Stegostoma tigrinum: one gene and its partner. The protein of the gene in region 1 interacts with the protein of each later gene in a pairwise test. Links are inferred from orthologs where the notes say so. Each region holds a gene or a part of one and is shown in the gene's direction. Other genes may lie near its edges.

Region 1 (11,667 bases):
AGGCAACCAGCTAGAAACTGATGTCCATTTCAATCCCACCGACTCCCATAGTTATCTAGAATACACCTCCTCCCAACCACCCTCCTCCATCCCCTATTCCCAATTCCTTCACCTCCACCACATCTACTCCCAGGATGAGGCATTCCACTCCTGCACATCTCAGTTGGCCGCGTTCTTCAAGGGCCACAACTCCCCCCCCACCTCCCCCCCCCCCCCCCCCTGCAGTGGTCAAGAATGCCCTTGACCGTATCTCCCGCATTTCCCACAACACATCACTCACACCCTGCCCCCGCAATAACCGCCCCACGAGAATCCCCCTTGTCCTCACATACCACCTCACCAACCTCCGGATACAACACATCATCCTCTGACACTTCCGCCATCTACAATCCTACCCCACCACCCAAGACATTTTTCCATCCCCACCCTTGCCTGCCTTCCAGAGAGACCACTCTCTCCGTCACTCCCTTGTCCGCTCCACACTGCCCTCCAACCCCACCACACCCGGCACCTTCCCCTGCAACCGCAGGAAGTGCTACACTTGCCCCCACACCTCCTCCCTCACCCCCATCCCAGGCCCCAAGATGACTTTCCATAATAAGCAGATGTTCACCTGCACATCAGCCAATGTGGTATACTGTATCCGTTGTACCTGGTGTGGCCTCCTCTACATTGGGGAAACCAAGCAGAGGCTTGGGGACCGTTTTGCAGAACACCTATGCTCGGTTCGCAATAAACAACTGCACCTCCCAATCACGAACCATTTTAACTCCCCCTCCCATTCCTTAGACGACATGTCCATCATGGGCCTCCTGCATTGCCACAATGATGCCACCCGAAGGTTGCAGGAACAGCAACTCATATTCCGCTTGGGAACCCTGCAGCCCAATGGCATCAATGTGGACTTCACAAGCTTCAAAATCTTCCCTTCCCCCACTGCATCCCAAAACCAGCCCAGCCTGTCTCCGCTTCCCTAACCTGTTCTTCCTCTCACCCATCCCTTCCTCCCACCTCAAGCCACACCCCCATTTCCTACCTACCACCTCATCCCGCCTCCTTGACCAGTCCGTCCTCCCCGGACTGACATATCCCCTCCCTACCTCCCCACCTATACTCTCCTCTCCACCTATTTTCTCCTCTATCCATCTTCGGTCCGCCTCCCCCCTCTCCCAATTTATTTCAGAACCCTCTCCCCATACCCCTTTTCTGATGTAGGGTCTAGGCCTGAAATGTCAGCTTTTGTGCTCCTGAAATGCCAATGGAGGGGTGTGGTGTTCTGGGAGGTGGGGGTTATTAAGGGTCCATGTGATCGCTAATATGAGCATACCTGCCCCAGATGGACTGCAGTAGTTCAAAGAGGCTCACCACCACCTCCCTGAGGGCAACTAGGGATGGATAACATGTGCTGGCCTTTTGCCAGCACCACTCACATACCATGAAAAAAATAACCATCACCTCCAAGGCTATGACCAGCTAGAATTGACAACTTCAATTATACAGAACATGCAATGTCGCCGTGGGGCTCACTGGTCAACCGTCCAACATTAAAAACTTCCTCTTCAACTTCCTTCTTTTAAAAATATTTACTATTCTATAATAATTGGGCAGTGGAGAAAGTAGTTTATTGTGGACAAATCCCTAGTAGAGTGTTTAATCATGGGGAAGATGATGATCGGGTCATTTTGTAATCCAGAGACTGTGGAAATGCACTGTGGACAGGGGTCTGAATCCGACCTCAGCAGTTGGTAGAATTTGAGTGTTAGACAGGGCGAAGTGATTCCACAACCAACGGATCAGATCTAAGCTCTGCAGTCCTGTCACATCCAGTTGTGAATGATGGTGGACAATTAAACAACTCACTGGAGGAGGAGGTTCCACAAATATCCCCATCCCTAATGACGGAAGAGCCCAGCACATCAGTGCAAAAGATAAGGCTGAAGTATTTGCAGCAATCTTCAGCCAGAAGTGCCGAGTGGATGATCCATCTCATTCTCTTCCAGAGATCCCCAGCATGATAGATGCCAGTCTTCATCCATTTTAATTCACTCCACGTGATATCAAGAGATGGCTTGAGGCACTGAAAACTGCAAAAGCTATGAGCCCTGATAACATTCCATCCATAGTTGAGAGGATGTGAGCTGCAGAACATGCCACATCCCTAGCCAGGATGTTCCAGCAATAACATTGGTATCTGTCCAACAATATGAAAGATTTCCCAGGTACATCCTGTACGCACAAAGAACCTGGCCAATTACTGCCCCATTGGTCTATTCTCAATGGAAGGTGTCAGTAACAGTGATATCAAGCAGCACCTGCTCAGCAATAACCTGCTCAGTGATGCCCAGTTTGGGTTCCACCAGGGCCACTCAGCTCCTGACCTCATTCCAGCCTTTGTTCAAACATGGACAAAAGAACAGAATTCCAGAGGTGAGGAGAGAAGAACAGATCTTGACGTCAAGGCCACATTTGACCGAGTATGGTATTGAAGAGTCCTAACAAAACTGGAGTCTATGGGAAATCTCTGCGATGGTTGGAGTCAGACCTGACAGATGGGAAAATGGTCGTGGTTGTTGGGGTCAGTCATCTCAGCTCTAGGACATCTCTGCAGGAGTTCCTCAGGGTGGTGTCCTAGGCCCAACCATCTTCTGCTGCTTCTTCAATGACTCTCCCTCCACCATAAGGTCAGAAATAGGGATGTTTGCTGATGATTACACAATATTATCAGGGCCTTACTGGGAATGTGGAGTTGAAGTTACAGTCCATTCAGTAATGCTTTTCTTGAATGTTGAAATCAGATTGACAGACTGAATGGCTACTCCTGTATGTTTATATTCCTGTGGGATCTGTCGCACCTGCTTCAATCCACCAAGATGAAATAGCCTTTCTCACATCCAAAATGTTTTAAATAATAAAAAAAAACTCCTGAAAAACAAATTCAAATACACCAAACAATTCATTTAATGGACGCACAATTTCTCTTTGAGCTTTTGCAGCAGGAGCTTTAAGTGACACCACGACAATATTTGTACATGTTGAAACAATAACAACTTATATTTACATTGACCCTCGACATAATAAAACACCACAAGTTTCTGCACAGGGAGGTTGTAAAGCAAGGGTAGACGCTGACCACATATTTCAGCAATATTCCATCAGGCAGCCTACAGCTTAATCAAAGATTGAGGTGAAAATGAGATCGACGCAAAGAATAGGTGAGCTTCAGGGAGGGAATCCCAGAGTCTGGACTTGGAAGCTGAAACAATAGCCTCCAATTGCGCAGCACTGGATATCCTCAAGGTCAAAATGGGATAGCGCAGAGATCTGGAAGGTTGTATGAGGTGACAGAGATAGGGAGGGGGTGTAGGGGCTGGAGGGGGTGACAGAGATAGGGATGGGGTGTAGGGGCTGGAGGGGGTGACAGAGATAAGGACGGGGTGGGGGCTGGAGGAGGTGACAGAGACAGGGAGGGGTGTAGGGGCTGGGGGAGGACAGAGATAGGGAGGGGATGTAGGGGCTGGAGGTGGTGACAGAGATAGGGAGTGGCTGGGGGCTGGAGGAGGTGACAGAGATAAGGAGGGGTGTAGGGGCTGGAGGAGGTGTAGGGGCTGGAGGGGGTGATAGAGATATGGAGGGGGTGTAGGGGCTGGAGGGGGTGATAGAGATAGGGAGGGGGTGTAGGGGCTGGAGGGGGTGATAGAGATAGGGAGGAGGTGTAGGGGATGGAGGGGGTGACAGAGATAGGGAGGGGGTGTAGGGGGCTGGAGGTGGTGATAGAGATAGGGAGGGGGTGTAGGGGGCTGGAGGGGGTGACAGAGATAGAGAGGGGGTGTAGTGGCTGGAGAAGGTGACAGAGATAAGGAGGGAGTGCAAGGGCTGGCGGAGGTTACAGAGATAGGGAGGGGGTGTAGGGGTTGGAGGAGGTGACAGAGATAAGGAGAGGGTGTAGAGGCTGGAGGAGGTGACAGAGATAAGGAGGGGGTTGGGGCTGGAGGAGGTGACAGAGACAGGGAGGAGTGTAGGGGCTGGGGGAGGACAGAGATAGGGAGGGGATGTAGGGGCTGGAGGTGGTGACAGAGATAGGGAGTGGCTGGGGGCTGGAGGAGGTGACAGAGATAAGGAGGGGTGTAGGGGCTGGAGGAGGTGACAGAGATAGGGAGGGGGTGTAGGGGCTGGAGGAGGTGACAGAGGCAGAGAGGGGCACAGGGGCTGGAGGAGGTGACAGAGATAGAGAGGGGGTGTATGGGCTGGAGGAGGTGACAGAGTTAGGGAGAGGGTGTAGAAGCTGGAGGGGGTGACAGATAGGGAGGGGGTGACAGATAGGGAGGGGGTGTAGGGGCTGGAGGAGGTGACAGCGATAGGGAGGGGGTGTAGGGGCTGGAGGAGGTGACAGAGATAAGGAGAGGGTGTAGAGGCTGGAGGAGGTGACAGAGATAAGGAGGGGGTGGGGGCTGGAGGAGGTGACAGAGACAGAGAGGGGCACAGGGGCTGGAGGAGGTGACAGAGATAGAGAGGGGGTGTATGGGCTGGAGGAGGTGACAGAGTTAGGGAGAGGGTGTAGAAGCTGGAGGGGGTGACAGATAGGGAGGGGGTGACAGATAGGGAGGGGGTGACAGATAGGGAGGGGGTGTAGGGGCTGGAGGAGGTGACAGCGATAGGGAGGGGGTGTAGGGGCTGGAGGAGGTGACAGAGATAAGGAGAGGGTGTAGAGGCTGGAGGAGGTGACAGAGATAGAGAGGGGGTGTAGGGGCTGGAGGAGGTGACAGAGATAGGGAGAGGGTGTAGAAGCTGGAGGGGGTGACAGATAGGGAGGGGGTGACAGATAGGGAGGGGGTGACAGGGAGGGGGTGGAGGGGGTGGAGGGGGTGACAGAGATGGGGTGGAGGGGGTGACGGGGGTGGAGGAGGTGACAGAGATAGGGAGGGGGTGTAGGGGCTGGAGGAGGTGACAGAGATAGGGAGGGGGTGTACAGGCTGGAGGAGGTTACAGAGATAGGGAGGGGTGTAGGCGCTGGAGGAGGGGGCAGAGATGAGGAGGGGGCAGAGATGGGGAGGGGGCAGAAGGGGGTGTAGGGGCGGGAGGGGGTGTAAGAGAGAGAGGCAGAGTTGGGGAGGGGGTGTAGGGGCGGGAGGGGGTGTAAGAGAGAGAGGCAGAGTTGGGGAGGGGGTGTAGGGGCTGGAGGAGGTGTAAGAGAGAGAGGCAGAGATGTAGGGACGGGAAGGGGTGACAGATTGGGAGGGGGTGTAAGGACTGGAGGGGTGACAGAGATCAGGAGGGGGTGTCGGGGCTGAAGGAGGGGAGAGAGTTAGGGAGGGGGTGCAGGGGCTGGAGGACGTGACAGAGATAGGGAGGGGGTGACAGAAACAGTGTGGGGTTGTCAGGGCTGGAGGGGGGTGACAGAGACAGGGAGGGAGTGTAAGGGCTGGGGGGGGGCGCAGAGACAGGGAGGGGGTGTAAGGGCTGGGGGGGGGCGCAGAGACTGGGAGGGGGTGTAAGGGCTGGAAGCGGGTGACAGGGATAGAATCGAGACGACGGTGGGGTTTGAAAACCGGGATGAGAATTTTCAGAAAGCAGAAACCTCCTGACGCCGTAAATCGGAAACACAAAACAGAAATTGCTGGAAAAGCTCGGCAGGTCTGTGCAGAGAAACAGGGTTAACGTTTCGGGTGCTGTGACCCTTCCTCAGAACTGAGTGTAGCCGGGGAAAGGTGCTGAAGATGGGATGGAGACAGGGGTGTATAGGAGTAAATGGATAAGTAGAGATGGAGCCCAGAGAGTTGGTTGAAGGAGTGGGTAATGGTCAGCCTGGGAGAAAGGACAGCTGCTGATGAGGGTCCGTGTAGGCGTGACTCGCTTCCTTTTCCTTCTCTGTTACACTTCCTCATCAGCTGCATTCCTCACTACAGGTCCCAGGGTGCAGCAGAACGCAATCAGAGGAGGTGGGGTGGGAGGAGCAGCTTGAAAGTTCCTGTTAATTTGTTCTGTTTGGAGAGTCAGCGAGGGTTTGTGTGAGGAGCGTACTGCTTGGTTGTGGAGGTCTCGGGCAGAGAGAGATAGAGAGAAAGGGGGACTGACTGATGGGACAGAGCTCTCCCTGAAGGAGATGGACAGTTCCCTGAATGTGCAGCTATCCAGAGACTGGGCCGAGGAGCAGGAGGATGGACTGTCCGAACTCGAGTGAGTCTGGAGCTTCCTTCTGCATTACAAATCTGTGTGTTTCTTATATTACTGTTGTCTGTTGGAGGCGGAGGATACGTTCTATGTTGTAATTAAGTGTATTTTTTCTCCTTGAAAATTTCTGCTGGTGTGTCAGTTTCAGGATGTTCTGGTCAACTTTTTGAGAAATCGGGAAAGTTTCTCTTTCTTCTGTAAAGTAACGATGAATTCATCTGTAATAGACAGCTGTAATCAGCTTTCCTGTTCAGTTTGCTATCCATTAACCTTTGGGACACCCCTCTGTGTGGCATCATGCTCTGTACAGGGGACTCTCCACCGATTAGAATTCCCGAAGAGTGAACTACTGTCATTTCTGTCAATCTACCAACGTGTCACTTTCAGGCCTGCGATGCTGTGTTTAAAGCGCAAGATCTCTCATCGTTCCCAAAATAAATCACGGGCACCCCGCCCCCGTCCCCTTCCCGAGTCGGGGTGCCCCAATGACTGAATAATTCAAATTGCCGATGGTTTATTGTCAATTTCATTAAGGGAAAAACAAACTCTCGGGGATTAGACATAACCTGTGGATGAAAGCCAAACGCTGCAGATGCTGGAAATCTGGAAGAAGGGCAGAGAATGCTGGAGAAACTCCGCAGGTCTGCGTGAAGAGGGAAACAGCGTTGATGACTCCTCTTCAGTGAATTTCTGTTTTGAGATGAATTAATTGCTTCCTCCTTAGTAACAGCGACACCTCAGTGATAGGCGCCAAGCATCCATTGCTGCAGGGGCTCTCTGTTCTATTTTCTGATCTACCTGTTTAGAGATACTGTGACACATTTTTGGAGCAGGTAGGACTTGAACCTGGGTCTCCTGGCTCAGGAAAAAAAAACTCAGCAGGTCCGGCAGCATCTGTGAAGAAAAATCAAGAGTTAACCCAGTTTTCAGGAAGGGTCCCTGGTCCAGAAACGTTAACTCTGATTTTTTTCCTCACAGATGCTGCCAGCCCTGCCGAGTTTTTCCAGCAATTTCTGTTTTTGTTCCTGATTCACAGCACCCGCAGTACTTTTGGTTTCTCCTGGCTCAGAGGTAGGGGCACTACCACTGCATTAGAAGAACGCTGTAAAGTTTTGATGATGGATTCCAGTTCTTGTTCTATATTGTACAGATAATTATCTCCAATTCTCCTTCAAAATGTTCATTTTATTTTGCCATTGAAAACAGCGCAGATGTTAAACTGCTGAAATGCTGGACCCTCTGTGATTCCTCTGTAACTGGGAAAACACACTCATTCAATTGTATCAGTTGAGAGTGTCACCTCTTGAGTTAATTCAAAATCCTGTCCCAAAATAATTTGTTTTGAGGTAATATTTGTTAAAACTGCACATATGTGTATCTGGTTGATTCCAAATTATTAAGTGGAATGTACAGCAGAGTAACAGGCCATTTGGCCCAACATATTGGTGTTTATGCTTCAGACAAGTCTGCTCTCACTCTTTGATAACAAGGCATAGTGCTGGATGAACACAGCAGGCCAAGTAGCATCAGAGGAGCAGGAAGGCTGATGTTTCAGGCCTAGACCCTTCTTCAGAAATGCTGCTTGGCCTGCTGTATTCATCCAGCTCCACAGTTTGTTATCTCAGATTCTCCAGCATTTGCAGTTCGTACTATCTCTGCTCTCACTCTTTGTTGTTTCGCTCATCCTGTATCTTCTTCTTCTGTTCCTTTCTCCCTTGTGTGTTTATCCAGCTTCCTCTTAAATAATAACTGCGCTGTTTACCTCAACCACCACACGTGGTATCAAGTTCCACATTCTCCCCAGTCTCTGGGGGCAAAGAAGTTTTGCCTGAATTCCTGATTGTCATTGATAAATCTAATCTAACATCAATAGTCCCTTGTTCTGGTGTCACCCACGTGAGACTTGGTCTCTAACTTTACCCTATCAAACCTATTAATAATCTCAGTCAGAAACACACCCCTCATAGGAAAGGCAGTCAGCCCTGTATACTCCCTCCCATGGAAGGAGAACCTCTCCATTCTGGTATCATTCTAGTCAAACTTTCTTTCTCCACTGTGTCTACCTCTTGTTTGTTTTATGATTACAAGGATTAGTTACCAACCCTCCAGTTGTTTGAAACTGAAAACAGGAACTACTCGAAACAATCAGCCGGTTTGTCAATCTGAAGAGAGAGCGCATGAGGCGAGAAAGTAGGCTGGGCCCTTTCCCAGAATGGAAAATGAGGGGCAAACAATGGTTTTGGTTTCAGCTAGAATTGTTAAAGAAAAGATAAGGTGACAGCAAGTCACTCAACAAAAGTAACACAGGAGGAATGAGTGGAACGATGATGAGAAAGCAGTGTTTGTAAAAAGAACCTCTGTGTAGGTACTGACTGACACAATGAAGGGAAATTGACAGAAATCTTATCAAACAGCATTTTAGTAATATATCAGATTCTTAAGGAGCTGGACAGGGTTAATGCTGAGATGACGTTTCACGTCATGGGAGAGTCTAGGACCAGAGGGCACAGTCTCAGAATAAAGGGGCACCAATTTAAGACTGAGATGAAGAGGAATTTCTTTTCTCAGAGGGTTGTGAGTCTTTGGAACTCCTTGCCACAGACAGCAGTGGGGGCAGAGTCGTTGTGTCTATTTAAGGCTGAGATCAATAGATTCTTGATCAGCTACAGGGAAAGGGCAGGAAAATAGGTGTGAGGAATGTTGGATCAGTCACGATCCAATTAATGGTACAGCAGGCTCAAGGGACCAAATGGCCAAATCCTGTTCCTACTTCTTATGGTCTTACAGTGTATTCAGACTTGTTTGGGTCGGACATCAACAATATTTATTAACAAACTGGTGATCTAGCAGCAGACATTTCTGCCTAGAATTGCTCTTGTTCCAAACTTCTGGTAGAGTCTCAATCAAATCACAGATGACAGTCACATCACAGGATACCCACATGTTTAATGTACTTATTCATTAAACCAATTTCACTTATCAGGACATGAAATTAAACATGTTAATGAACAGAGATTGGTGGAAACACTCAGCAGGTCAGTCACCATTTGTGGCGAAGGGAACAGTTGACATTCCAAGTTGTCGATTTCCAGCATCCACAATCTTCTGAAGTTCAAGATTTAGGATGAAAATGTGGTCACCAAAATTCTCCAGGCATGTGCTGGGAAGTCTTGTATCCCTGATGGATTGGCTTTGATCCAATGTAGGTACAGTTTGAACCCATAGTGAAGTGAGACAGGTTCTCATTGTGCTACACAGATCAGATTAACTCCTGGTTTGTAATGAAGTTGGTGTGAAGCTGCGGCTGGAGCATAGTCACAGCCTTGGAAAGGGTGATGTGGCTCAATAGGTAGCACTGTCGCTTCCGATTCGGAATGGGATTTCAAGTCCGACTCCAAAAAAATCCAAGCACAGTAACAATGTTGACATCTCCCACTGCAGTGTTCGGGGGGTGCTGCACTGTCAACAGTGCCAGCTTGCCGATGATATGATGAACCAAGTCCTTGTTTGCCCCCTACAATGGGCACAGAAGGTCCAAGAAGAGCAGGGTAATTCTCCTGGTAACCAGTTTTACCCCGCAGCCAATAACTAAAATATGCCGTTATCTTGGTCACTGTTCTATTATCGGCCTGGGAGCTCGTTTTGCACAAATTGTGAGCTGTGTTGCCTGCATTATAACAGGGATGTCTTCAAAGGTACGTAATTTCCTTTTAAAGTGCCTGTGGATGTCTGAGCTTGAGTGATGCTAGTCATTTTTAAAATCAGAAAACAGTGTTCCACATCCCTGAAAGTATCCAGGAAGGAATTGAATATTCCTGCAAATAAAAGCTAAATACTGTGGAAGCTGGTAAACACAGTGTTGGAGAAACTCAGCAGGTCTGGCAATGTTAGAAACAGAGTTAACATTTTGAGTCTGGTATGACTCTCCTTCAGTAATTTTTGAGCCGTACCAATCTGTCTCTCCCTTCACACACACTGCCAGACTGCCGGGTTTCTCCGAAATTTCTGATCTTGTTTGTTTTGAGAAGTCCCAGAGCGCTCTGAGTGGCATAAATCCCAAAGTCCCATGTTATTTAGGTTTTTTGATAAGTGAGTGAATTTGGTTGATGACATCAGGACAACTTACATATGCATAGAACTGTTAAACAGAAAAATCTGAAGAACTTCACAGAGGCTTAAGGAAGAAATGGAAGTGATAAAATAAAAATAATAAAAGCAAAATACTATGCATGTTCGAAATCGGAAAGAACACGGAGAATCCTGGAGAAACTCTGCAGGTCTGGCAGCATCTGTGGAGAGAGAAACAGAGTTAATATTTCGAGTCCAGTAGTTAAGTTTTGAAGGAGAGCCACAGGACTTGAATCATTAGCTCTGTTTCCTTCTCCACAGATGTTGCCAGACATGCTGAGTTTCTCCAGTACTTTTGGTTTTTGGAAAATACCTACGTATGATGAATATCCAGAGGTTTTTATAAGAAGTAGAAGTTGGGAAATACCTGAAAGAAAGATCTTGCTCTTAAGTGATACCTTTCACAACTTCAGAAAATCCCCAAAGATAATGGGAGCTGCAGATGAGATGCTGCCTGGCCTGCTGTGTTCATCCAGCTCCACACTTTGTTATTTCAGAAAATCCCCAAACTGTTTTAGACAGTTGGGTGCTTTTGAAGCATGCTAACAGCCAATTTACACATAATAAACACTGATGAGTAATAAAGGCAGAAAAAACCAAACCAACTGCTTTGCATTATTTAGTTCATTCACAGAAATAGCAGTGCTGGCCTAATCTGCGCCTAGCATGGGGAGCTCAGAAAATTAACAGTTGGGAAGATCCAAGTAAGATTAATTCAAACAGAAAAAATTATAAGAATTGACCTGATTGAGATCTTTACGATTCCACAAAGGGTCATTAGGCTAGTTACAGAGAAGATATTTTCACTTGGTGGGAAGCTCAAAATTAAGGGTCGTCATTTAAGATAGTGACTAATAAATCCAATAGGAACATCAGGAGATATGTCTTTACACAGAAAGTAGAACTCACAGCACTTGAATCATCAAAGTCTACAGTTGCACTTGAGTCAAACCTAGATGAACACAAGGGAGGAAGGAACAGAAGGCTATATTGACAGGATGAGATGAGCTGGGATAAAGAGTGAATAATACAGAACATAGAGGCCAGCACAGATGAGTTGGGCCGAGTGACCTATTCTGTGCAATAGGTTGCACAATATTCACATAACCAAAGTTTGATTACATCCTTTGATGCTAGGGAACATTGTTTGTTTTGAGGTGTTGAATGTTAAAGAAACACAAGTCTGATTAGTGTACACTCTGGAAGGGACCCTCACAAAATTGGATAGCCAGAGGGCACATGTTGTACTGAAGAAAATTTGAGCTGGCAATTTAGATAGAATTTGGAATCACAAGCCTCCTGCTGTGCAGAATCCTGCAGCCCATAATATCTGAGCTGTCCCCTATATAAGCCATTTAAACAATATATTTG
Region 2 (11,667 bases), on another chromosome or scaffold:
GTCATTAAAATTCCTCCATTGGTGGTTTTCTGCCAAGTAGATTTTTTAAAAAGTGTGTTTTACATTGATAGTAGGAAGAGAAGCATATTTGTGCTGGACTTTTCCAGCTAGCTGTAGGTTCACTTCAGACACCACTCACTGTATTTGAGATAAGAGTGTTCCAAAAATGGGATCCAAAATGATTTATTACAATCTTTAATGCAGCTACTTTGCCTTACAAAATTTCTTCTTTTTAATCTAGTAAACCACATGAAGAATGAATTGAACATCTGGCAGGAGAGGAATAATGTAAATCCAAGCTGACCATTCTTTTACTTAGAAAAGAAGGATACTTCATAAACTCCGACTCATGAAGAATTCAGATGGAAATCTTGTTTGGTGAACAAGATTGCATGACCTCCGGCACATGCCATAGACTTTCGTGAACAGACATTTAATGGCACAGGATTCACAAGGAACATTTCATACCTAAGCATTAAGTCTGTATTGCTGCTATATGAATGCAGTTTTATTCCCCGTTTTTGTGATCTCACCTGGCCAACTGAAGAGAGTTTGTCATTTCTACTGGTTCTGAAATTCTACCAGATTTATATTTTGTTACTTCAATAGTTTGCATACATTTCAGTGTCTGGCGGTACAAAAAATGTTTTTTTTCTCAGATGCCAAAAACATTTATGCCTAAAGCGTAACTGTTAACTCTTCTATTTTGCTGAATTTCCAAGAAGCAGTCTTTTAATCAGCCTCTGGATAAAATTGCCTACTTTGTACTTACATTGAATTGCAATGTTTGCACATTGACTACATTAACAGTTACGCTAGAATCCCTAGTTTTGCTTACCTGTCAGTTGAAACAGAAAAATGTTTACAGAAATGTGTGTACTTCATCTCAATATCTATTTTAAAAGAAAATGACAAAAGGTCTATTTTAATGAAGTCTTTTGGGGTGGTCTTAAAAGTCGCTGTAAATATCTTTAAAATTGTGAAGGAGTTTGCTTGAGAAATGCTTCCTATAACTTAATGTCCACTTAATGAAGTATTGTACAGAATTATTTGACAAAACTATCTTCCAAATTGTATAGTATAAACACATGAATGGCCTGCTAAAATTTATGCTGCATATTATGTATGTAGGTGGTATAGGACTTGTGTTTTGCTGCCATTCTGAAGTAGAATCACGTTTTTAAAAAATCATTCAGATTATTTAAATGTTACACATTATTGAGCCTTTACGTTTATTTAAATTATGTCTTGCTGTAACTTCTCTATAATGAGACAATATATGAAAAGGGGAAATGTTTGGCATCCCCCAGTGGACATTGTTCAGCACTACAGCATCCTGAATTTTGGTTTTGTTGATCAGTTCTGAATCAAATAGAAAGCACTTGGAAAGAAATGACCAGCAAAGAATTAATAAAAGCAAGTTGAACATAATTCTAGAAAATTATTGGCTGACTTTCAACCTGTGGCGTACACCTTATTGATATGTCAATTTGGCACTTACCTTTCGCCCACTTTTTAAAAATTGATTTTCAGGGGATGCTGGCTTCACTGGCAGGGTCAGCATTTTTTGCCCACCTCTATCACCTTCTCAAGGATAACTGAAGAGCTGCTATCCTAAACTGCTGCAGAACATTTTGATGTAGGTAGACCCACAACGTTTTTAGGGAGGGAATTCTGGAATTGTGACCCAGCAACACTTCAGAAGTGGCAATTTGTATCAGAATAGTATGCAGATTGGAAAGAGAACTCTCAGGTGGTGGTGTTTCCATGTATCTGGGGTGACCTTTCTTTTGGAAGGTGCTGTTTAAGGAACCTCACTGCTACTGAGCATTGGTGATGGAGAGAATGAGTGCTTGTTTTATTCTGGGTGATACTGAGCTTCTTTGGTGTTGATATTGGAACTGCACTCATCCAGGTAAGTGAAGAGTATTCCATCAGACTTCTGACATGTGCCTGCAGATGTCAGTAAGAAGTGAGTAACTTGCTGCAGATTCCTAGCCTCTGAGTGTTCATGTAACTTATTTATTTGGCTAGTCCAGTTCACTGTGGAGTCATGATGTCTGAGAGCCGATACCGTACTCAGTGCCAAGAAGAATCCAGTACACTGGAGTTTAGAGGCTTGTTAGATGACTGCCCTCTGACCTTTGCTCATGTAAAATAAGGCTTGACAAAATAAGGTCAAAAAAGATCCTATTCGGTCATTACTGCCCAATTGCTTTTTTCTTATTGTTGCTCAATTAGTTTGATTCTCACTTTTTATAATCACGGCTGTTTTTGAGCCAGTTGAATAGGTTACTGTAGCAGCTCTACACTGCTACAGATTCTTTGACTGAGGAAGGGTCATCGGACCCGAAATGTTAACTCTGATTATTTTCTTCACAGATGTTGCCAGACCTGAGCTTTTCTAGTAACTTCCACTTCTGTTCATAATTTCCAATGCCTCCATTTCCTTGTTTTAACCAGCAGTCTGGAGGCGTCTATAGTTCTGTAAATGGGGTCTAATTCAGTTTGTACAATAGTCAAACAAAGCTTCTCTGGTTTTTGATTATATTTCTCCAGAAATGAAATCAAATGCCTTGTTTTTGTATTATAAGTGTATTATTTATCCTTGTTATCCTGTTACTACAATGTCCTGTAGAGTGCTTCAGAAGCCCATTATGTATCAACCACAGTGATATAGAACTGAAGTCACCTATAGACCAGGCAGATTTCCATCCCAGTAAACAGGTTGCCCTTATGCCAATGAGTTTCACCTTCACTGCTACTGGTATTGGCCTACTGTTTTCAAATTTCTTTAAATTGTATTTCAGACTTTTGAGTGTGATGATGGGGTCTGAATCCATGTTCTTTGGGTTACAGAGCTGGGCTTCTGGATTACTAGTTCAGCAACAGTTCTGGGCATCCCTGCAGAATTTCCTTTCAATGTGTGCTTTTGTTAAAACAAGATATTGCATAATATCTCAGAAATAAGGGGAACAGCATGTGTGCTGAATTCCTGGTACTGAACTGTACTCAACAGAACATCCCCACCCTATAACAACCTGGGTGGACTGCAGATCTTCAGGACTTGAATTTAATATTTGTTATCACACTCCTCCAGATGCAGGGTTAACCACCCTAAACTTAATTATCCTGGTCACAAGCTTGATTGCTTACTTGTTTCATCACTTGATAGGCCATCTCAAAGAAGCAGATTGATCATGTCTTTGTTTTAAACACAATCTCTATATCCTTCTTTAGGAAATATGACAAGTGCAGTACTCGCTCAACTGACTTTCAGGGATACTTAGTGTCATAATTTATAAGAGTGACTGAGGAAAACTCTGAATTGGTTTGCAATTCATGCAAATTTATACGACACTCAACCAGTATCACTGAAATGTTCATGATAAGTAATAGACAACAAATTCAAATGTTTAATTTAAAGAGTTCAGATTACTTTCTGAAAGCATCCATTGTCTACATTTTAAATCAAAATTTCACTAATTCATTATAAACCTTATATCTGTCGCCTATCTTCAACTAAATCATCCTCCTTTAATCCTTCCTAAAGTGTAATGAGTGATCTGGTACTGACGTTCAATTATTTACATGCTTCAAATAACAACGTGGTAACTGGGTTCTGAGGTTATAGGTCAGTTCTAACGTCAAGCGAGCTATCTAGAGGATACAAAAATGCTTGCTCTGTTTAGGATCTGCCTTATATTATTTTCTGTTTTTAAAAAAAAATCTTGAGGGCACGATTTGAAGAAAAGTCTTCTTTGTGTCCTCAGACAGCATTACAAGAAGTCGATCTAGTCACTGTCTTTTGCCGACGCTTCTTGTGTTTGTTACGTTCCCATCACAGCCAACTAAGTAGGAATGGGTCATTCATCCTTTCAAGACTGATCTAGCTGTGATCTTAACCTCCTTATCCTGTCAATCAAGAATCTATTCAACACTCTCTTGAAATAGTCAGTAATCCACCCTCTACTGGAATTTCCTTTTCGAGGAGAACAAAGACTTACAACCTTCTAAAAGTAGAAAAGAAATCATTGTAAAAACAAAACTTTATTCTGGAAAGGACAGACGTTATTTCTCGTTTCCCACAGAATGGGTGGGAGAGAGACAGCATAATCCTCCCAGTATCCACCCTTCCGATCTGCTCAAGATTAATGACCTTGGACATCGCGAGAGATTTTGGGATGTCCAGATGTTGTGGAAGGTGCCACATAAATGCAATCTGTCGGTACGAAATAAAAACCCGAAAGAATTGCGGATGGCGTTTGTCAGACCCAAAAATAAAAGCTTTTTCCAGCAGCTTCTGTTTTTGTCGGTACATAATCATGAATTAGTTTCTTAAAAGCAGAATTCTGGGGGAACGAGAAACACTCGGATTTTCTCTACCTTCCTAGCCTGGTAAAATTTCTGAAATCAGTCCACCTACCCAACCTGACCGGCTCCACACTTCCAGGTTTGGACCTCGAATTTCTTTGGGGGCGGACCATGTCCACCCAAGCCCCGCCCCCTGTGTTGGTGATGCAACCACGTCCCTATTCAATTCCCGCCCATTCAGTTTACGGTGGCGTAGGCCCGCCTCCATTGTGTCATATCGCCCTGCGTGCACGCACAATCCTTGCTACTGGCTCCTCACAAAAGGGACTGTGAGTCGAGGGCCGATGTGATCGTTGGTCTTCACACGCCACCCCCGGTGGCAAATGGCGGGTTTTCTAAACCGGGGCTTACGCCCCTCAATCCTCAGGTTTACAAGGCACCTTACAGCAACGACAGTCCCCGAAATTCATCACGTAACCATCCCCTCACTCAACACTTTATCCGCGGTGAGTAACAGCAGTGAAGGTCCTTAATTGGATGTATGCGTGTAGCACATTACTGACATTTATTTAAAGTCAGTTTGAGGCCGGGACCTCCGCGCGCCCCCACCCCCCCGCAAGTTCTCGCGCTGTGTTGCTATTGGTCTTTCCGGAGATCATGTGGTCTCCATCCTCGGAGGCTAGTCCATGCGACCTCAATTAAGGTTCCGCCCCTCTCCTCCCTGAGCGAAGCCGATTGGTTACTGCTCACATAGCGGCTCTCGCGGTGGAACGGCTTGACGACCTGAGGCCCGGCGTCATGGGCTGGAATCTGTGGCGATGAGTTCGTGTCAAATTCTGTTGTGTAACATAATACGGCGAGAGGCTGTTCGGCCCGTTGTGCTTGGACCAGCTGTTTACTAAGGCAACATTCAAATCACATTTTCTGAAGAAGGGTCTAGGCCTGAAACGTCAGTTTTCCTGCGCCTCTGACGCTGCTTGGCCTGCTGGGTTCATCCAGCTCTACACCTTGTTGTCTCACATAGCCCTCCCTGTACCTTCCATTGTACCTGCAGATAGAGATTCTGAAAACGTATGCTGGTGCATTCCAGATCCGAAACACTCGCCGCATGAAAAACGTCCTGCGGTACTTTTTGTCGATTAGCTTTAATCTCTATCTTCTGATTCTGGATCCTTACACCAACAGGAGCCTTTTTGCCCCTATCCACTTTCATCAAGCTCTTCGAGGTTTTGAGACTCCTCTGGCAGGTCTCCTCGTGGCCGCCTCTTGATTGATGAAAATTGTTCTCGTGGCTACACATTGTCCTGCATCATAAGTCCACCGAAACAAGTACAGTCATAATGCACGGAAACAGACCCTTCGAACCAACTCGTCCGTGCCCACCAGATAGCTGGTATAAATCCAGTCTCGTTTATCAGCATTTAGCCAATATCCCTGTAAATCCTTCCTATTCATGTACTCATCCAGATGGCTTTTAAATGTTGTAGTTGTACTAGCCTTCACCATTTCCTCCAGCACCTCATTCCGTGCAGGCATCACCCTCTGTGTGAATAAGTTGCCCCTTAGGTCCCTTTTAAATCTTTCCACTCTAACCTTAAACCTATGCCCAATGGTTTTGGCTATCCCATCCCGGGAAAATGACATTGTTTATTTTCCCTATCCATCCCCCTCATGATTTCATAAATCTCTGTGAGGTCACCCCTCAATAGTGAAAGCAAAAAAAGAACCCATTACATGGGCCAAATGGCTAATCCATGTGCTGTATGACTCTTTTAAAAATAAGTTAGGATTCCGTATCATTTGTTTTTAAGCAGCCTATGTAGGTGTTAATGAAAAATTCTGTAATGCCAATGTGGTGTATAAATGTTTTACAGCCAATGCAGCACTTTGCTGAGGGTCGTGGAAACAGATGCACAGAGCAAATTCTCATGAGCAGCCATGAGATAGATGATCAAATAATTGTTTTAGTGATGTTTATTGAAGGATGAATATTGACCATAATGCTGATGATAACTTTCATGTCCTTCAATAGACTGACCATGATCTTTCACCTAAGATGCAGACAAGTCACAGTTTAATATAATAAAATGTGAGGCTGGATGAACACAGCAGGCCAAGCAGCATCTCAGGAGCACAAAAGCTGATGTTTCGGGCCAAGACCCTTCATCAGAGAGGTGGATGGGGTGAGGGTTCTGGAATAAATAGGGAGGGAGGGGGAGGCGGACCAAAGCTGGAGAGAAAAGAAGATAGGTGGAGAGCGTATAGGTAGGGAGGGGATAGGTCAGTCCGGGGAAGACGGACAGGTCAAGGAGGTGGGATGAGGTTAGTACGTAGATGGGGGTGTGGCTTGGGGTGGGAGGAAGGGATGGGTGAGAGGAAGAACAGGTTAGGGAGGCAGAGACAGGTTGGGCTGGTTTTGGGATGCAGTGGGTGGGGGGAAAGAGCTGGGCTGGTTGTGTGGTGCAGTGGGGGGAGGGGACGAACTGGGCTGGTTTAGGGATGCGGTGGGGGAAGTGGAGATTTTGAAACTGGTGAAGTCCACATTGATACCATTAGGCTGCAGGGTTCCCAGGCGGAATATGAGTTGCTGTTCCTGCAACCTTCGGGTGGCATCATTGTGGCACTGCAGGAGGCCCATGATGGACATGTCATCTAAAGAATGGGAGGGGGAGTGGAAATGGTTTGTGACTGGGAGGTGCAGTTGTTTGCTGCGAACTGAGCGGAGGTGTTCTGCAAAGCGGTCCCCAAGCCTCCGCTTGGTTTCCCAAATGTAGAGGAAGCCACACCGGGTACAGTGGATGCAGTATACCACATTGGCAGATGTGCAGGTGAACCTCTGCTTAATGTGGAATGTCATCTTGGGGCCTGGGATAGGGGTGAGGGAGGAGGTGTGGGGGCAAGTGTAGCATTTCCTGCGGTTGTAGGGGAAGGTGCCGGGTGTGGTGGGGTTGGAGGGCAGTGTGGGCGAACAAGGGAGTCACGGAAAGAGTGGTCTCTCCGGAAAACAGACAGGGGTGGGGATGGAAAAATGTCTTGGGTGGTGGGGTCGGATTGTAGATGGCGGAAGTGTCGGAGGATGATGCATTGTATCCGGAGGTTGATGGGGTGGTGTGTGAGAACGAGGGGGATCCTCTTTGGGCGGTTGTGGCGGGGGTGGGGTGTGAGGGATGTGTTGCGGGAAATACGGGAGACACGGTCAAGGGCGTTCTCGATCACTGTGGGGGGAAAGTTGCGGTCCTTGAAGAACTTGGACATCTGGGATGTGCGGGAGTGGAATGTCTTATCGTGGGAGCAGATGCGGTGGAGGCGGAGGAATTGGGAATAGGGGATGGAATTTTTGCAGGAGGGTGGGTGGGAGGAGGTGTATTCTAGGTAGCTGTGGGAGTCGGTGGGCTTGAAATGGACATCAGTCACAAGCTGGTTGCCTGAGATGGAGACTGAGAGGTCCAGGAAGGTGAGGGATGTGCTGGAGATGGCCCAGGTGAACTGAAGGTTGGGGTGGAAGGTGTTGGTGAAGTGGATGAACTGTTGGAGCTCCTCTGGGGAGCAAGAGGCGGCGCCGATACAGTCATCAATGTACCGGAGGAAGAGGTGGGGTTTGGGGCCTGTGTAGGTGCGGAAGAGGGACTGTTCCACGTAATCTACAAAGAGGCAGGCATAGCTGGGGCCCATGCGGGTGCCCATGGCCACCCCCTTAGTCTGTAGGAAGTGGGAGGAGTCAAAAGAGAAGTTGTTGAGGGTGAGGACGAGTTCAGTACACCACCCATGCCCTCCACCTCCTCCAGGACTTCCAATTCCCTGGACCCCAACACCTCATCTTCACCATGGACGTCCAGTCCCTATACACCTGCATTCCGCATGCAGATGGCCTCAAGGCCCTCCGCTTCTTCCTGTCCCGCTGGCCCGACCAGTTCCCCTCCACCGACACCCTCATCCCGCCTAGCCGAACCCGTCCTCACCCTCAACAACTCTTTTGACTCCTCCCACTTCCTACAGACTAAGGGGGTGGCCATGGGCACCCGCATGGGCCCCAGCTATGCCTGCCTCTTTGTAGGTTACTTGGAACAGTCAGTCTTCCGCACCTACACAGGCCCCAAACCCCACCTCTTCCTCCGGTACATTGATGACTGTATCGGCGCCGCCTCTTGCTCCCCACAGGAGCTCCAACGGTTCATCCACTTCACCAACAATTTCCATCCAAACCTTCAGTTCACCTGGGCCATCTCCAGCACATCCCTCACCTTCCTGGACCTCTCAGTCTCCATCTCAGGCAACCAGCTTGTAACTGATGTCCATTTCAAGCCCACCGACTCCCACAGCTACCTAGAATACACCTCCTCCCACCCACCCTCCTGCAAAAATTTCATCCCCTATTCCCAATTCCTCCGCCTCCGCCACATCTGCTCCCAAGATAAGACATTCCACTCCCGCACATCCCAGATGTCCAAGTTCTTCAAGGACCGCAACTTTCCCCCCACAGTGATCGAGAACGCCCTTGACCGCGTCTCCCATATTTCCCGCAACGCATCCCTCACACCCCGCCCCCGCCACAGCCGCCCAAAGAGGATCCCCCTCGTTCTCACACACCACCCCACCAACCTCCGGATACAATGCATCATCCTCCGACACTTCCGCCATCTACAATCCGACCCCACCACCCAAGACATTTTTCCATCCCCACCCCTGTCTGCTTTCCGGAGAGACCACTCACTCCGTGACTCCCTTGTTCGCTCCACACTGCCCTCCAACCCCACCACACCCGGCACCTTCCCCTACAACCGCAGGAAATGCTACACTTGCCCCCACACCTCCTCCCTCACCCCTATCCCAGGCCCCAAGATGACATTCCACATTAAGCAGAGGTTCACCTGCACATCTGCCAATGTGGTATACTGCATCCACTGTACCCAGCGTGGCTTCCTCTACATTTGGGAAACCAAGCGGAGGCTTGGGGACCGCTTTGCAGAACACCTCCGCTCAGTTCTCAACAAACAACTGCACCTCCCAGTCGCAAACCATTTCCACTCCCCCTCCCATTCTTTAGATGACATGTCCATCATGGGCCTCCTGCAGTGCCACAATGATGCCACCCGAAGGTTGCAGGAACAGCAACTCATATTCCGCCTGGGAGCTCTGCAGCCTAGTGGTATCAATGTGGACTTCACCAGTTTCAAAATCTCCCCTTCCCCCGCCGCATCCCTAAACCAGCCCAGTTCGTCCCCTCCCCCCACTGCACCACACAACCAGCCCAGCTCTTCCCCCCCCCCACCCACTGCATCCCAAAACCAGTCCAACCTGTCTCTGCCTCCCTAACCGGTTCTTCCTCTCACCCATCCCTTCCTCCCACCCCAAGCCGCACCTTCATCTCCTACCTACTAACCTCATCCCACCTCCTTGACCTGTCCGTCTTCCCTGGACTGACCAATCCCCTCCCTACCTCTCCACCTATACTCTCTCCACCTATCTTCTTTTCTCTCCATCTTAGGTCAGCCTTACCTTCTCTCTCTATTTATTCCAGAACCCTCACCCCATCCCCCTCTCTGATGAAGGGTCTAGGCCCGAAACATCAGCTTTTGTGCTCCTGAGATGCTGCTTGGCCTGCTGTGTTCATCCAGCCTCAAATTTTATTATCTTGGATTCTCCAGCATCTGCAGTTCCCATTATCTCTGACACTGTTTAATATCTTGGTCGAAGGATAGCACCTTTTTTATTCACTTTTGGTTTGTGGCTGCAGCTGGCAATACAGCATTTGTCAACCACCTTAATTTCTCTTGCGATCAACCACTTGAAATACCCTGATCCATTTAATGTTGAAACATCCAGAATGTTGTTAAGCAGTGAGTTCCAGGATTTTGACCCAGAGATGGAGAACGTATGGCAATATTGTTCCAAGTGAAGATGGTGTATGACTTTGAGAGGAACTTGCAGGCAATGGCATTCTATGCATCTATTACACTTATGTTTCAAGATGATACATGTTACAGGATTGAAAGGTCCTGTGAAAAGGAAGCTTGGAAAGTTACTGAAGTGTATTTTGTGTATTTTCTGCAGCCATTGTAAGCTGGCAATGGAGAGAGTTAAATGTTGGAGTTGATGGATACCGTATCACTCAAGCTGCTTTGTCCTGGTTGATGAGATAATGGGAACTGCAGATGCTGGAGAATTCCAAGATAATAAAATGTGAGGCTGGATGAACACAGCAGGCCAAGCAGCATCTCAGGAGCACAAAAGCTGACGTTTCGGGCCTAGACCCTCTCTGATGAAGGGTCTAGGCCCGAAACGTCAGCTTTTGTGCTCCTGAGATGCTGCTTGGCCTGCTGTGTTCATCCAGCCTCACATTTTATTATCTTGTCCTGGTTGATGCCAGGTTTCCGTGTATCATTGGAGCTGCATGGATGGAGTTACCTTAGAATTCTCAGCCTCTGACCCGCTCTTGTCACCACAGTACCTATATGGCTAGCTCACTGTAGCTTCTGGCCAATAGTAACACCCAGATGTTGCTAATGGAAGGCTCAGCGATTATGAGGTTATTTAATGTCTATGGAAGATGATGAGATTCTCTCCTGTTGGAGACAGCCATTGTCTGACATTTGTGTTGTGTGAATATTACATCCCACTTATCAGCCAAAACCCCACTGTTGTCCAGGTCTTGCTGGACTCTTCCAGGATTTGAAAAATTGCTAGTGGCTACGGACACTTTGCAGCAATCATCAGCAACCTTGCCATCTCTGAATGAAGGCATTTGATGAAGCAGCTTAAGACAGTTGGGCCGAGGCATTATACTAAAGAATCCTTGCACAGATGTTCTGGTGTAAGTATGATTGAACTCTAAGAACCACATGATCTTCTATTGTGCTAAAATGTTTCCACCAGTGCATGGTTTCCAATGATTCCTTTCAACTCTGTTTTTAATCAGGCTTCTTTATTCCACACTCAGTCGCACTTGACATTGAGGGTAGTCACTATCACCACATCTTCACTGCAGCATGAGAAATGTAATTCTGAATTATCTGTTCAAATTCCTGGAATGCATCTTGATTCAGTAACCTTCTGATTTCAAAGAGGGACTGCAATGGCTGAATCAGAGCTAATACCTCTACTCTGCACAAACCTCACACTGCCAGTGCAGTACTGGTCAAGTACTGCATTGCCAGAAATGTAACCTTCCAGATGAGATGTTAAACCTTGAGGCCATGAGTTCCTGCTCGCTTTTTTAAATGCCTTTATTGACTGCAAAATGACTAAAGCTTAACTGCCAGTAAAGTGCTTTTGAAGTAGTGTAGAAGTGCTGACATAATGAAGGAATCACAGCAATCAATTTAGTCACAATTTTTTTTTAAACAAATGTAGAAA

What was found.
Region 2: the proteins of dapp1 (region 1) and fxn interact in binary tests that used the Homo sapiens proteins (3 or more experiments, as listed by UniProt). The link is inferred for Stegostoma tigrinum from reciprocal best matches to the Homo sapiens genes DAPP1 and FXN.

The regions. Positions count from the first base shown.
Region 1 is NC_081354.1:4,225,135-4,236,801, reverse strand, and holds the start of dapp1 (dual adapter for phosphotyrosine and 3-phosphotyrosine and 3-phosphoinositide), read left to right. Parts: upstream 1-5,934; 5' UTR 5,935-6,100; coding exon 6,101-6,174; intron 6,175-11,667. UniProt on the Homo sapiens protein: May act as a B-cell-associated adapter that regulates B-cell antigen receptor (BCR)-signaling downstream of PI3K.
Region 2 is NC_081356.1:27,896,009-27,907,675, forward strand, and holds the start of fxn (frataxin, mitochondrial), read left to right. Parts: upstream 1-4,583; 5' UTR 4,584-4,697; coding exon 4,698-4,820; intron 4,821-10,953; exon of another isoform or gene 10,954-11,059; coding exon of another isoform or gene 11,060-11,125; intron 11,126-11,667.